Ovis aries: one gene and its partners. The protein of the gene in region 2 purifies or fractionates together with the protein of the main gene of each other region. This does not show direct contact. Links are inferred from orthologs where the notes say so. Each region holds a gene or a part of one and is shown on either strand. Other genes may lie near its edges.

Region 1 (3,748 bases), on a different chromosome or scaffold from region 2:
AGCCTCAGGAGGCAACTCTGCTGTGCCTGCACCAGTGCGGAATAAACCTTGCTGTTCCACATCTCCGAGTTTTGCTTGTCTCTTGCCTTCGCCACGGTTTCTATAACAGGGCCACTGGGCCTCATTCTTCACTCTTGAGGCTTGTCACAACCCACCGGACAGGCAGCTCATTTACACCCATCGCCTCCTTCCTGAGGGGCCACTCCTGCTGGAAAGAGCACGGTGGGTGGGTGAGAGATGCTGGGCCAGTTTAGACGACCTAAACAGAGACCAGGTGTGGAAAGGGCTGTGGATAATTCCCTACCATGTCTTACATCTAGACATTTAACAAATATAGGTATAGACTCGACACACCTAATACATTTTGGGTCTAGAGGTAGGACAGGAGCTGTTATGTCACACGCATGAGGCTAATCCTTAGGTAAAGTAGTACCAAGTCCCTGCGTACCGCAGGTGCCGCCCTTGCCCACTTACTCTCCATCCCGGTAAAGAAAAGCCAAAACAAAACAAAATAAAACAAAACAAAATGCGTAAGCCTTGTCCTTTAGCCCTGTGCCTGGGATCAGAGGTTGAGCCCTCTTCCGGCTGCCAGGGTAGCTACTCAACTCTGGGTCAGAGCTAGGTTTCTGCCAGTCTGAAGCCACCACATGAAGCGGCCCCACAGGGCAGCGTAGTGCCCTTCTCCCGGGTTCCCAAGCTTGCCCCACCTCAGACAGGCCTCGCCTGCCAAGGAACCCTGGTCTGAACCTCAGTTGCGAGGAGGGGGTTGCTATCACGGTTCCCAGACCTCCTTTTGGATAGCCACTCGCAAGGCAGAGGGTTGAGGATCAATTCCCACCACTCCCAGGATCCCAGCTATTCACACTGCCTCCGACCTGCACTTGCTCCTTCTGATTTCCAACCCCCCTGCTCCTTCCAAATGCTCAAGGCTGCTCAACCCGCACTGGGACGTGGGAGCAGGCTGGGACCTGGGGCTGCGTGGGGTGCGGACAGGTTGACGGCTTTCACCGAGGAGGAGGATGTGTTTGGGGCTGAAGGGCGCCTCAAGGGCCAGGCGGTGGGGGCAGGGGGACCGCGAGGACCTCGGGGAGGGCTGGGGTCAGACCCGGTGGGCTAGTGGTGGGTGTAGGGAGCCCTGCCACCAGGCTCAGGGTTCGCAGGCAGCGAGGGAGAGGCTGGGGCCAGGCGGCGCCGGACCCGCCACCTGGCAGGCCGCGATCCCCGCCCTCGGCGCCCCGCCCCCGCGGCCCGGCGGCCGACTAGTGGCCCGCCGCGCCCCGCCCCCGCCCGCAGTGCCCGGATGTGGGTGACGTGCGGCCGCCATCTTCCCGTCCCGGGCAGCCAGCGCCAGTCGGAGCCAGCTCGAGCCTCCGCTGCCGCCGCCATCACTGCCGCTGCCAAGTCCTCCGCCCGCTGCCCCCGCCATGTGAGTCGGCGCCCGCACCTGCACCGCCTGGCCGGCACTGGCCGCCGCCCTTAGGCCCAGGCCTGGGGAGGGCTCGGGGTTCGACTCGCGTCCCCCACGCGCCCCGCGTCCCGAGACCAGGCCGGCGCCTGTGACTGCGCGCGGGCATTAGGAGAGCCCCGCGTCCCGGGCTGGCCGCGCGGAGGCTGACCGCGAGAGGGGGCGGACTCCCCATCTGGCCGCTCCGCCTCTATCATCGCTGCTGGGTCCACCCCAGACCGTGTCTGTGAGGTCGCCCTCGTTTGACAGGCGGGGAAACTGAGGCCCGAGGGGGAGGGGGCCTCCCTCAAGGTCACGCAGCAGCTCGCCCGCGGGCCCGGACGGAGGCCAGGGCTCGCATCGAGTGGCTTTCTACCCGGCAAGAAGGAAGGGAGGGACGGATGGAGGGACAGGCGGATGGGCGGAGCCCTGGCTGCGGGGCCAAGGGCTGCAGGCCTTGGTTCTTAATCCGTCCCTGCCCCTCAGGTCGGCTACCGCTGCCACCGCCCCCCCTGCCGCCCCGGCTGGGGAGGGAGGCCCTCCTGCGCCCCCTCCAAACCTCACTAGTAACAGGAGACTGCAGCAGACCCAGGCCCAGGTGGATGAGGTGAGTGGAGGTGGTGGTGTCAGAAACAGTGGGAAGGACCCTGAGGGTTGACAAACCGACACGGGGGTCCATTTTGGGTTGGGGGGTGATGGCAGTTCATGTTTGGGTACGAAAATATACCATGGCCCGTCCTTGTCAGCGTGCAAGTATGGGAGGGCCCGTGGGGATGTTGGCCTGGCTAACCTGAGGTGTTTCACCCTGGGTGGATGCTCTGGTGAACGGAAGGCTGCTTGAGGCTCAGTAAATAAAGAGTGGTGCTGTGACATCTGAGCAGTGTGGATACCACATGCCCCTGCTGTGTGCTGCTTGCATTTCTCTGGTGTGCTAGGCATGTTCTGTATATGTCCTTGGCATGTTAGCCAGGCCACATGATGCCTGTTCCCTGTGTGAGCTCATGGTGTGTGGAGGAGTGCCCTTTGAGATGGACCTTGGCACACACACCGCTGCCTTGTGGGCCTTCCCTCAGGTGGTGGACATCATGAGGGTGAACGTAGACAAGGTTTTGGAGCGGGACCAGAAGCTGTCGGAGCTGGACGACCGTGCCGACGCCCTCCAGGCGGGGGCCTCCCAGTTTGAAACTAGTGCAGCCAAGCTCAAGCGCAAATACTGGTGGAAAAACCTCAAGGTAAGGGTGGAGGCAGGTGGGAGGACAGGGAGGAGGTGGGGGGTGAATGGGAGTATCCTGGTCTGTCTCACTGAGCCTCCCCCTCACCCCCAGATGATGATCATCCTGGGAGTGATTTGCGCCATCATCCTCATTATCATCATCGGTGAGTAGGGTGGGAGTGGCTAGGGCCCTTTCATGGAGAGGGTTCCCCTGCGGTTTCTGGGTTTTGAAGGTCATTAACCTAGATTTTAGTATTTAGGAAAAAGTATATATGGTTGCCAGTAGCAGTTCTGATTCATCTAGAGCCCCAAACCTTGAAGTTGTTTAGCTTGCACTTTGCCTGATTCTGGGCCATTTCTGTTAAGATTTTCAAAAACAGGAAGAGCATAATAGACTGGGAACCTGGAATTGGGGAGTGGGAGAGCAGCAGAGACTGAGGGGCTTGAGAAACAGCTGGGAAGCAAACCACCCCATTGTTTGAGAGCTGTGGTCTCAGAGGATTAGGGATCTGTGGCCCCAAGGCCATACCATGGAGTTGAGGAGATCTGGGAACCAATCTGTGTAGATTCCTTGCTTTACAGGTGAAGAACCTGAGGCCAAGAGGGGAAGGGATGTCACCTAGCTGGGAGGTGGGGAAGGTGGGAGCAGGGCTGGGCTGACACACTGCTTTCTCTCTTTCTCTTCCTCCCTTCTCCGTCTTCTTCCTTCTCTTTCCCTCTCCACAGTTTACTTCAGCTCTTAAACCCCTGAGGAGCCTGCCCTGCCCAGAGAAGGGCCTCTCCCCCCAACCCCCAGCCGCTCCTCCACCTCTCAGCCATATCTTCCAGCCCCATCTCCCCCGGATCCGTGTGTGTGTGTCGTGTGTGCGCCCCCTTGTAAATAGCCAGCTGTTATTTATACATATATAATATTATATATATTTGGTCTGTTTGTAGTTTTATTACTAGAAGATTTTTTCCAGTTGTCCTTAACACCCCTTCCTGAGGTTCTCATCACTTCCTTTTCCTCTTTCCCTCCTTCCCTTTCCCTCTCTTCTTGACCAACCCCAAGTCTCCTTCATTTGCATCTGCTATGCAATAGTCCCTCTTCC
Region 2 (3,648 bases):
GTAGTAGTTTGCATTCCCACCAACAGTGTAAGAGGGTTGGTTCCCTTTTCTCCACACCTTATCCAGCATTTATTGCTTGTGGACTTTTGGATCGCAGCCATTCTGACTGGTGTGAAATGGTACCTCTCATTGTGGTCTTGATTTGCATTTCTCTGATATTTAATAGCTTCTTGAAGCTTGTGTTTTAATAATGCCTTCCTTCTCAAAGTAGAGGGACCACTTTCCTATTAGAAATAATGCTTCCCTGAAAGTCCTGAAACCTGAATTTTAGATTCAGCTCTAGTACTAGCTAACATTTGTTTACCATCTCTCAGTCTTAATTTCTTCACCGGTAAGATGTAGATAGATAGATAAAGTTAGGTTTATTTTATCGTGTTTTCTAGATAAGTATCCTAAATTCCACATTCTTTGCTCAAATAAGCTTGTTTTTGTGTTCTTATTCTTACAGAATATCCACATTTCAGTTTCTGCACCTATCAAGAATTTTAATTGACCATGGATAATCTGTCAGCAGAAGAAATTCAGCTGAGGGCTAACCAGGTTACTGATGAGGTAAAAGTTTTACTTGGAATAGGTCATTAATTCTCTTTCAATTTTCACAGTGGAAGCATGAGAGGACCTTCTTAGAAGACCATTTCGGCCTCTCCCTAGTCTGTTTATATCAAAGAATGCATTTGCCCTTGAGTGCCATTACTGCTAGTTTCTTATTTTGTCAGCTCATCAAAAAACTAAATAAGTGCAAACAATCTGTATGATTTTTTTTAAATAGTCATTACTGAATAGTAACTTAGAACGAAGATAGATATGAAGAATTCTGTTTGTTTAATTTTAACAAAATTTTCTAATATCTGTGTGATATCCCTGGATTTCTGCTACATTACATTTTTATAAATCCCATTAACTATACTCTTTCAAATTTTCTCTTAAGCATCTGGTAGAAATAAAATAATGAAAATTAAATTAGTAAACTTTATTTTTTGTTTTAAAGAAGGGAGGAATGGATGTGCTAGCAATCTTTAAAAATAAAGTAGCATCATGAATATGGCCTGTGATCAGATTTGGAGGGCGGGGATATGCTACATATTTTAGAATGCTAAAACTCTTTTTTTCTCCTAGTCTCTGGAAAGTACAAGGAGAATCCTGGGTTTAGCCATTGAGGTAAGAAAGTGTTTAATCATCAAGTTAAGTATAGAAACTGTATAGAAGGAATTCTGATAACACAGACTGGAATTAATATTGTATCAATAAGCTTTATTATTTGAAATCGGCAATTGTTGAAATTGTCAAACCATGCACTAATGGGCCTTTTTGGCTTTTCTAATTGATAGTATTGGAATATAACAGGGAAAACAATTCACCATGAGTTTGTGACTTAATTATTTGGCCGGGGTGGGGGGCTTAATATGTTAAGGTGTGTTGGTTTGGGGAGGTTAGTTTTTTTCTAATCCTCTGAGAACTTAAGTTTCTAATGTTTCTTCCTTGCTGTTTTTCAGACCTTGTACTTTTGTTTCTGTTGGTTTGGTTTGGTTGTACTATCAGCTTTTTTCCCCTTCTTTTAGTCGCAGGATGCAGGAATCAAGACTATCACTATGCTGGATGAACAAGGGGGTGAGTTGCAGTCATTGGCAGGAACTCTTGATTTGATTTAGAATGCCAGAAAGCCTTTTCAAATCAGCCACAGTTAAAATTAATTAAGCCTTTGGGAGTACCTTTCCTTTGTAAGATAAGAGTGATATTTTGCTTCTTTTCTTCTGATTTAATTTATATCATGTTTTGATGCCTATTTGGGGTGAGAGTCACAATATCCCATTGTCCACCAAGTATTTATTTATTAGGTAGCAGGGCTTATTGTGTGCACTGGTCATTTGTGTCCTGGACATTATGATATTCTTTCATAATTTTCAGAAATCAAGTTACATCCTTGTGGAATTAGAAACTTTGCATTTGATTTGGCCCTGAGCAATCTGGTCTAGTTTTTATTCATCTTAGGACAGTCTTTAGGTTTTGAGCCTATTCAGTAATAGAAATGCTAGGAATCTGGTCTAGTGAGGCCTACGCCAATCCTCAACATGCTCCTGTTATACACATTTCTTTAGAACAAATCTTTCCACATTCAGAGGCCAGATACCCTAGGATCAGTATGTGAAAGACTTTTAAATTCTGGACAGCATATAGTACCATCTGGCCCTGATATAGTCACTGTGATGAATTGTTTGTGGATTCGAGGTTAAAGTTTGCTCTTCCGTTATACTAATAATAGCACTTTCTGATTGGCAGCATGAATGTAACATAAAATTTAACTTCCACAACTTATTCTTAGAACAACTAAAACGCATAGAAGAAGGCATGGACCAAATAAACAAAGACATGAGAGAAGCAGAGAAGACTTTAACAGAACTCAACAAGTGCTGTGGCCTTTGTGTATGCCCATGTAGTAGGTGAGTTGATAAATCAAAATCTTTTTCAAATAAATCTAAAATGAGAGTATCACCTTCAGAACCCCCCTCTCATCCCCCAGGAAGTGTTCCAGGGCCTAAATAAAGAACTTGGTTAGATCAACTTAATCTCTTTCTCCTTCAGGCATATCAAACTTTTTATGTAAATAGGCACACTCACTGAAAACCATCACTTAAATTTGATCAATCTTTCAATCAAGTCCCAATTACATTTTAAATAATATGAAAAGGTTGGGAAATATCCATCTGGATAATACATAGCAGGATGAAATTAGTGTGTTTTTCCTTTCAAATAAGGAGAATTAATAAAACATATATTCTGTGGTAGGCACATGAGGGATGGCCAAGGAAATAAAGGACTTGGATCTTGGCATCAAAGGACTTAGCATGTGGTTGGATAAATGAGACAGAATAGCAGAAAGTAGAAGCTATAGAAATCTGGTGCTAGATCTATGATATCAGTGGAGGCCAAGGGTACAGAACTACTAAAAGTTAGTTTGGAGTTCATCTTATAGGAGAGAGTGGACTTGAGTTGGGCTCTGAATGATTAGAAAGATCTGGATGGGCCTGGCAAAAGTGGGAAGACATTTCCTGTGGAAGATTTAATGTAAATAAAGACTACAGAGGAGCCTGACTCAACTGTACTACATGATTCACATTGAGAAAAAGTGAAAAATAAGACATAAGTAGGCAGTAAAGGAACTTGAATGCCAGCCTAGGGGGTTGATTGATTGGAGTGGAGGATATAACTGCACACGAGGAGACCAGTTAGGAACCTTTTGTAAACTAGGCCTGTGAGCTGTAACCTTATCATTAAGATTAGAGAGAAAAGTATAAGTCGGATTCTCTTTAAATCAACTAAAAGAAAGAAAGTCAAGTCAAGTCTCTCAGTCATATCCAACTCTTTATGGCCCCATGGACTATAGCCTACCAAGTTCCTCTGTCCATGGAATTTTCCAGGCAAGAGTACTGGAGTGGGTGGGATCGAACCTGGGTCTCCTGCATTGCAGGCAGACCTTTACCAGCTGAGCCACCAGGGAAGCCAACTGATTATGTGTCAAATGTGAAGAAAGAAACATCAAAGAAGGCTGAGGATTTGAAGCCTCTAGTAAACTAGGAAATGAGAAGTCTTCAAATATTTGTGTATAGTGTATGAGATAATACTTGACAAAAAAAGAATTCATTCATTTTA
Region 3 (3,748 bases), on a different chromosome or scaffold from region 2:
CAAAGAGTCAGACACAAATGAGTGACTGAGCACAGTCTGGCTGCAACTATGACTCTTAATCTTTATTCTCATCTTCTCTGCAATTTCCATGTGTTTGTTGAATGAATGAAAAATGATTGATCCCTTTTGAGTTCCCCATCTCAATATGTTCAGAAGCAAAACAGTTCTCTTCCAACAGCTTCTTTTCCCCTACATCTGACCTCCTTCAGCTGCTCCTCCAGGGTCTCAGAGAAGCCTGGAGTCTGATTTTCACCTCTCTCCCCCTTAACCCCATTCAGCCTTTCACCACGTCTAGGTGTTTTTGTTTTTCCTTGGAAATACCTATCAGATTGTCTGCTTCCTCTCCATTTACAATTGCTCTGCTGTCCTATTCTGGTCCTCAGCCCTTCAGGCTGGATGACCACAGCAGCTTCCAGACTAGTTTCCCTGACTTCACTGCCTTACTTCCTTGGGGCCTTGGGGTTTCCGTGCATTTTTATTTAACCCTCACAACGATCCACAAGCTAAATATTATTGTGCACGCTTTATAGATGAGGGACTGAATAACAGAACTCAGGTTCAAACAGGATTTGTCTGGTTCAAAGGACTCTTCCATCTCCAAAAAGACTGGTACTTTAAGCAAGTCACTTAACCTGCAAGAGTCTCAGATTTCTCATTTGTAAAATGGGGATAACAACAGTAATTACCTCCTGAGAGCAACTGAGATAACACTCGCACAGTGCCTGACATACAGGAAGTGCTCAAAGATAATCAGCAATTAATGTTCACAAACCCCATAGCATATCTAGCATATGAATTTGATAACTGTTCTGACCAAAATACTTTTGGGAAGTGCTTTTGAACCATTTAGCTCAGAAGAAGTTGCCATATCTGGCCCCTCCTTTGTCCCTCAAAAGTTCTTTCTCCTGGGAAGCATCACATGCTGTATGAAAAAATTATCTTACTGGTCACTTCGAGAAAGGTACACAGCAATAGAAAACACAGCCGTCTGGTGGAAAGTGCACAGATTCTCTGATTGCCCTGTCCAGGTTGTATCTCGAAGCCTCTTTGAACTTTTCTCATCTACTAAATGGTAATAATACCTTCCCCCCAAGAATATTGAGATGATGTACATACAGCCTTCAGCGCATTGTTGGATATAGTAAGACCTACATAAAGTTGTGCAATATAGTCAGATAATGTATACGAGCAGGCTTTATTGTAAGTGGAGGACGAGATGGATTTCTAAATCAATATGTTTTCAAAATCAAGTATCAAAAGTAGAGGAAAGGTGAAAGAATTATGCAAAGGAGATACTAATGCATACCTAGGACACCTGAATGCCTTTCCCGCGTAGGGACAAGCAGCTCCGGCCCCTGAATCCTGAGGGGCGAGTGGAGAGAATACCCGCCCTCTTCCGCCGCCCCCAGAGCCCCGCCTCCAGGGTCGTGTGACAAGGTGCCTAGGACCCGGCAACGAGGGGCGGGGTCGGCAGTGATCACGTGTGCACGGGTGCGGAAGTGGTGCGGCGGATGGCGTTCGTGATTGGCCGAGGCTGAGGAACCTGGGGGCGGAGCCAGGCGGCCGGACGCTCCGGGAGGAGTCGGGGGAGGGTACAGCCGCGGGGCCGGCTCCAGAGTCTGGATTTGGTCTGCAGTGCCCATCGAGTGCTGGACCAGCGGCTGGCCGGTGCACCCCGCCCTGCGCGCGCAGAGGCTTCGGGACCCTCAGGCCGAGGCGCGGGCCGCTACGCGAGGCGCATAGGGTGGGCAGAGGGAAATTTGGAGGGCGCGGGCGCCCTGTGCGCGGAGCAAACGTGAGGCGGCCGGGGGCCGGGACGCCATGTCCATGGAGGACCCCTTCTTTGTGGTGAAAGGGTGAGTGTTGCCGAGGGCTCCACTGGAAGAGGCGGTGGCCGTGCTGCCTGCCCGCACCTCCCCGCCTCTCCTCGTTGTAGGGGGGATGGGAGGCAAGTAGAGGCTGGCGTGGGGACAGTGGGGACGGCTTAGCCTGGAGGGCCATGATCAAGTGTCCAGAGACCTCCCTTTCCCGTCCTACCTGAACTTTGAAACCCACGCCCCCAGTCAAGCCCCTGGGAAGGGGGTCCCCTTTGGCCTGTGCGCTGCCCTATAACTTGTTTGAACGGGAGGAGGGGTTCAGCATTTCTGCAGGTGGGAAGGGAGCTTAGGCGTCCCAGACCAAACTGGGGCTTTAGTGGAGCACGGGGCCCTGCTTCGAAGGGGGAAAAACAGCATCTGGGCAGGAAAAGGGAAATGGCCCTCCTGAGCTTTGTAGTTGGCGTAGACGGGGGTGAGCTCCTATTGTCCATTGAGTTCGGAGCGCTGGCCCCGCAGACTGGTGAGACCACAACATGCCCAGAGGCGTCTGAGCACGTTAGCAGGCTTGGAGGCGGGGGCGCCTGGCTCCGGAAGACGACTCAATTCAGTGGGGGAGTTTTTACTGAGTAATGGGAGGGGAGGAAAGCAGCCGTTCAAACTCAGTGATGATGTTGGAAGGAAAACAAAATGAAATCAGCCAAACTAAACTTTCCTTAGCTTTCTGTTAGCACTGGGTTTTTCCCACAGTGCTAAAGGAAATGAGCGCTTGCTTTTTAACTCCCTGATTTCATCCAGGCTGTTTGACAGGTTTCCCCCATTTCTTCCTCTGCCTTTCAGACTCGAATAGCCTTAAACTTATTTTTCTCTGTGAGCTGTCGTGACTCCATCTTTGATTGCTCAGTTGTTTGCAGATACCCAGAAACTTGGCACTCTGTTACATAGGCTTTGTAGCCATTAAACAAATTCAGGGAAGATGGATCTTGTTGTTACAACTTTTGTTTTAAATGTCAAACACGTTAAAAATTTGAGAACTGCAAAGTTCCTGAGAGATCAGTGCTAATCACCCTAAAGTACTGCTTTGCTTTCAGCTAGTTCCTAGCTCCCTATTTCTATTTCTGTAAGGGTAAAAGCTGACCAGTTGCTTGAGGGTGTATGTGATTTTTTTTTTTTTAAAGGTTCTTCTAAGAAAATTTAAGTGATACTCTAGGTGAAATACTTTATTATCCATGATACAGTAAGATACATTTATATATATTTTAACATTTCCCTAAATATTTTTGCCTTTACCTGACTTTAGGTGGGAAAATCTGAGTTTAGATGATTAATAATACATAGATCTCTACCTGGAAAATGTTATTAGAAGAATTGATTTTTTTTTAGGGGTTAATTTTTAAATGTGAAAGCTGTGTGTTTTTCCTTTAAACATTCTTAATTCTTAGGTTTCAAAGGTTATGTCTGGCAGTGGAGGCTGTAGATAATCAAAATTTTTTGTTTCATTTTAAAATGGAATTTGTGAAAATGCTAAATTGCTCTGCCATCTTGACTTTTTTTCCTGATAGTACAGTTTGCCAGGGCTTGCTCACTGATTAGATATCACTGCTTTATTGGAACATTGGTCAGGAGTCTTGTTTGACTTGTACATTGTTTTAGCTCATATCTTTAAGATATTAAAACCTTTTGCTATGGAGAAGTAAAATTAACTACATGTCTCCAGATAATGTGGTGAAATATATGGGGAGCCATGTACCTCTGTTTATTAAAAGTTTTGAAAATACACTCACTGCATGATGTGGAAAAATGAAAGAAGCCTAAATTGTGACCTTTAGCCTAGGAGCTGGTAGTCTAATCTGAGAAACAAGTCACCCAATAATTAAGTAGAAATGACTGGTGGAAATGGTTAAGTGCTGAAGTGAATCCTACAGATGATTAAG

The links.
Region 1: the proteins of SNAP23 (region 2) and VAMP2 purify together in Homo sapiens (affinity purification with western blotting; 4 studies listed by BioGRID and IntAct, with this or other methods). This does not show direct contact. The link is inferred for Ovis aries from reciprocal best matches to the Homo sapiens genes SNAP23 and VAMP2.
Region 3: the proteins of SNAP23 (region 2) and STX6 purify together in Homo sapiens (affinity purification with mass spectrometry; 3 studies listed by BioGRID and IntAct, with this or other methods). This does not show direct contact. The link is inferred for Ovis aries from reciprocal best matches to the Homo sapiens genes SNAP23 and STX6.

The regions. Positions count from the first base shown.
Region 1 is NC_056064.1:27,613,991-27,617,738, reverse strand, and holds the start of VAMP2 (vesicle-associated membrane protein 2), read left to right. Parts: upstream 1-1,322; 5' UTR 1,323-1,424; coding exon 1,425-1,426; intron 1,427-1,930; coding exon 1,931-2,051; intron 2,052-2,517; coding exon 2,518-2,676; intron 2,677-2,769; coding exon 2,770-2,821; intron 2,822-3,383; coding exon 3,384-3,400; 3' UTR 3,401-3,748. UniProt on the Homo sapiens protein: Involved in the targeting and/or fusion of transport vesicles to their target membrane. Major SNARE protein of synaptic vesicles which mediates fusion of synaptic vesicles to release neurotransmitters.
Region 2 is NC_056060.1:36,077,176-36,080,823, forward strand, and holds part of SNAP23 (synaptosomal-associated protein 23), read left to right. Parts: intron 1-448; 5' UTR 449-495; coding exon 496-552; intron 553-1,116; coding exon 1,117-1,158; intron 1,159-1,559; coding exon 1,560-1,608; intron 1,609-2,320; coding exon 2,321-2,438; intron 2,439-3,648. UniProt on the Homo sapiens protein: Essential component of the high affinity receptor for the general membrane fusion machinery and an important regulator of transport vesicle docking and fusion.
Region 3 is NC_056065.1:61,536,587-61,540,334, reverse strand, and holds the start of STX6 (syntaxin-6), read left to right. Parts: upstream 1-1,594; 5' UTR 1,595-1,821; coding exon 1,822-1,856; intron 1,857-3,748. UniProt on the Homo sapiens protein: SNARE promoting movement of transport vesicles to target membranes. Targets endosomes to the trans-Golgi network, and may therefore function in retrograde trafficking.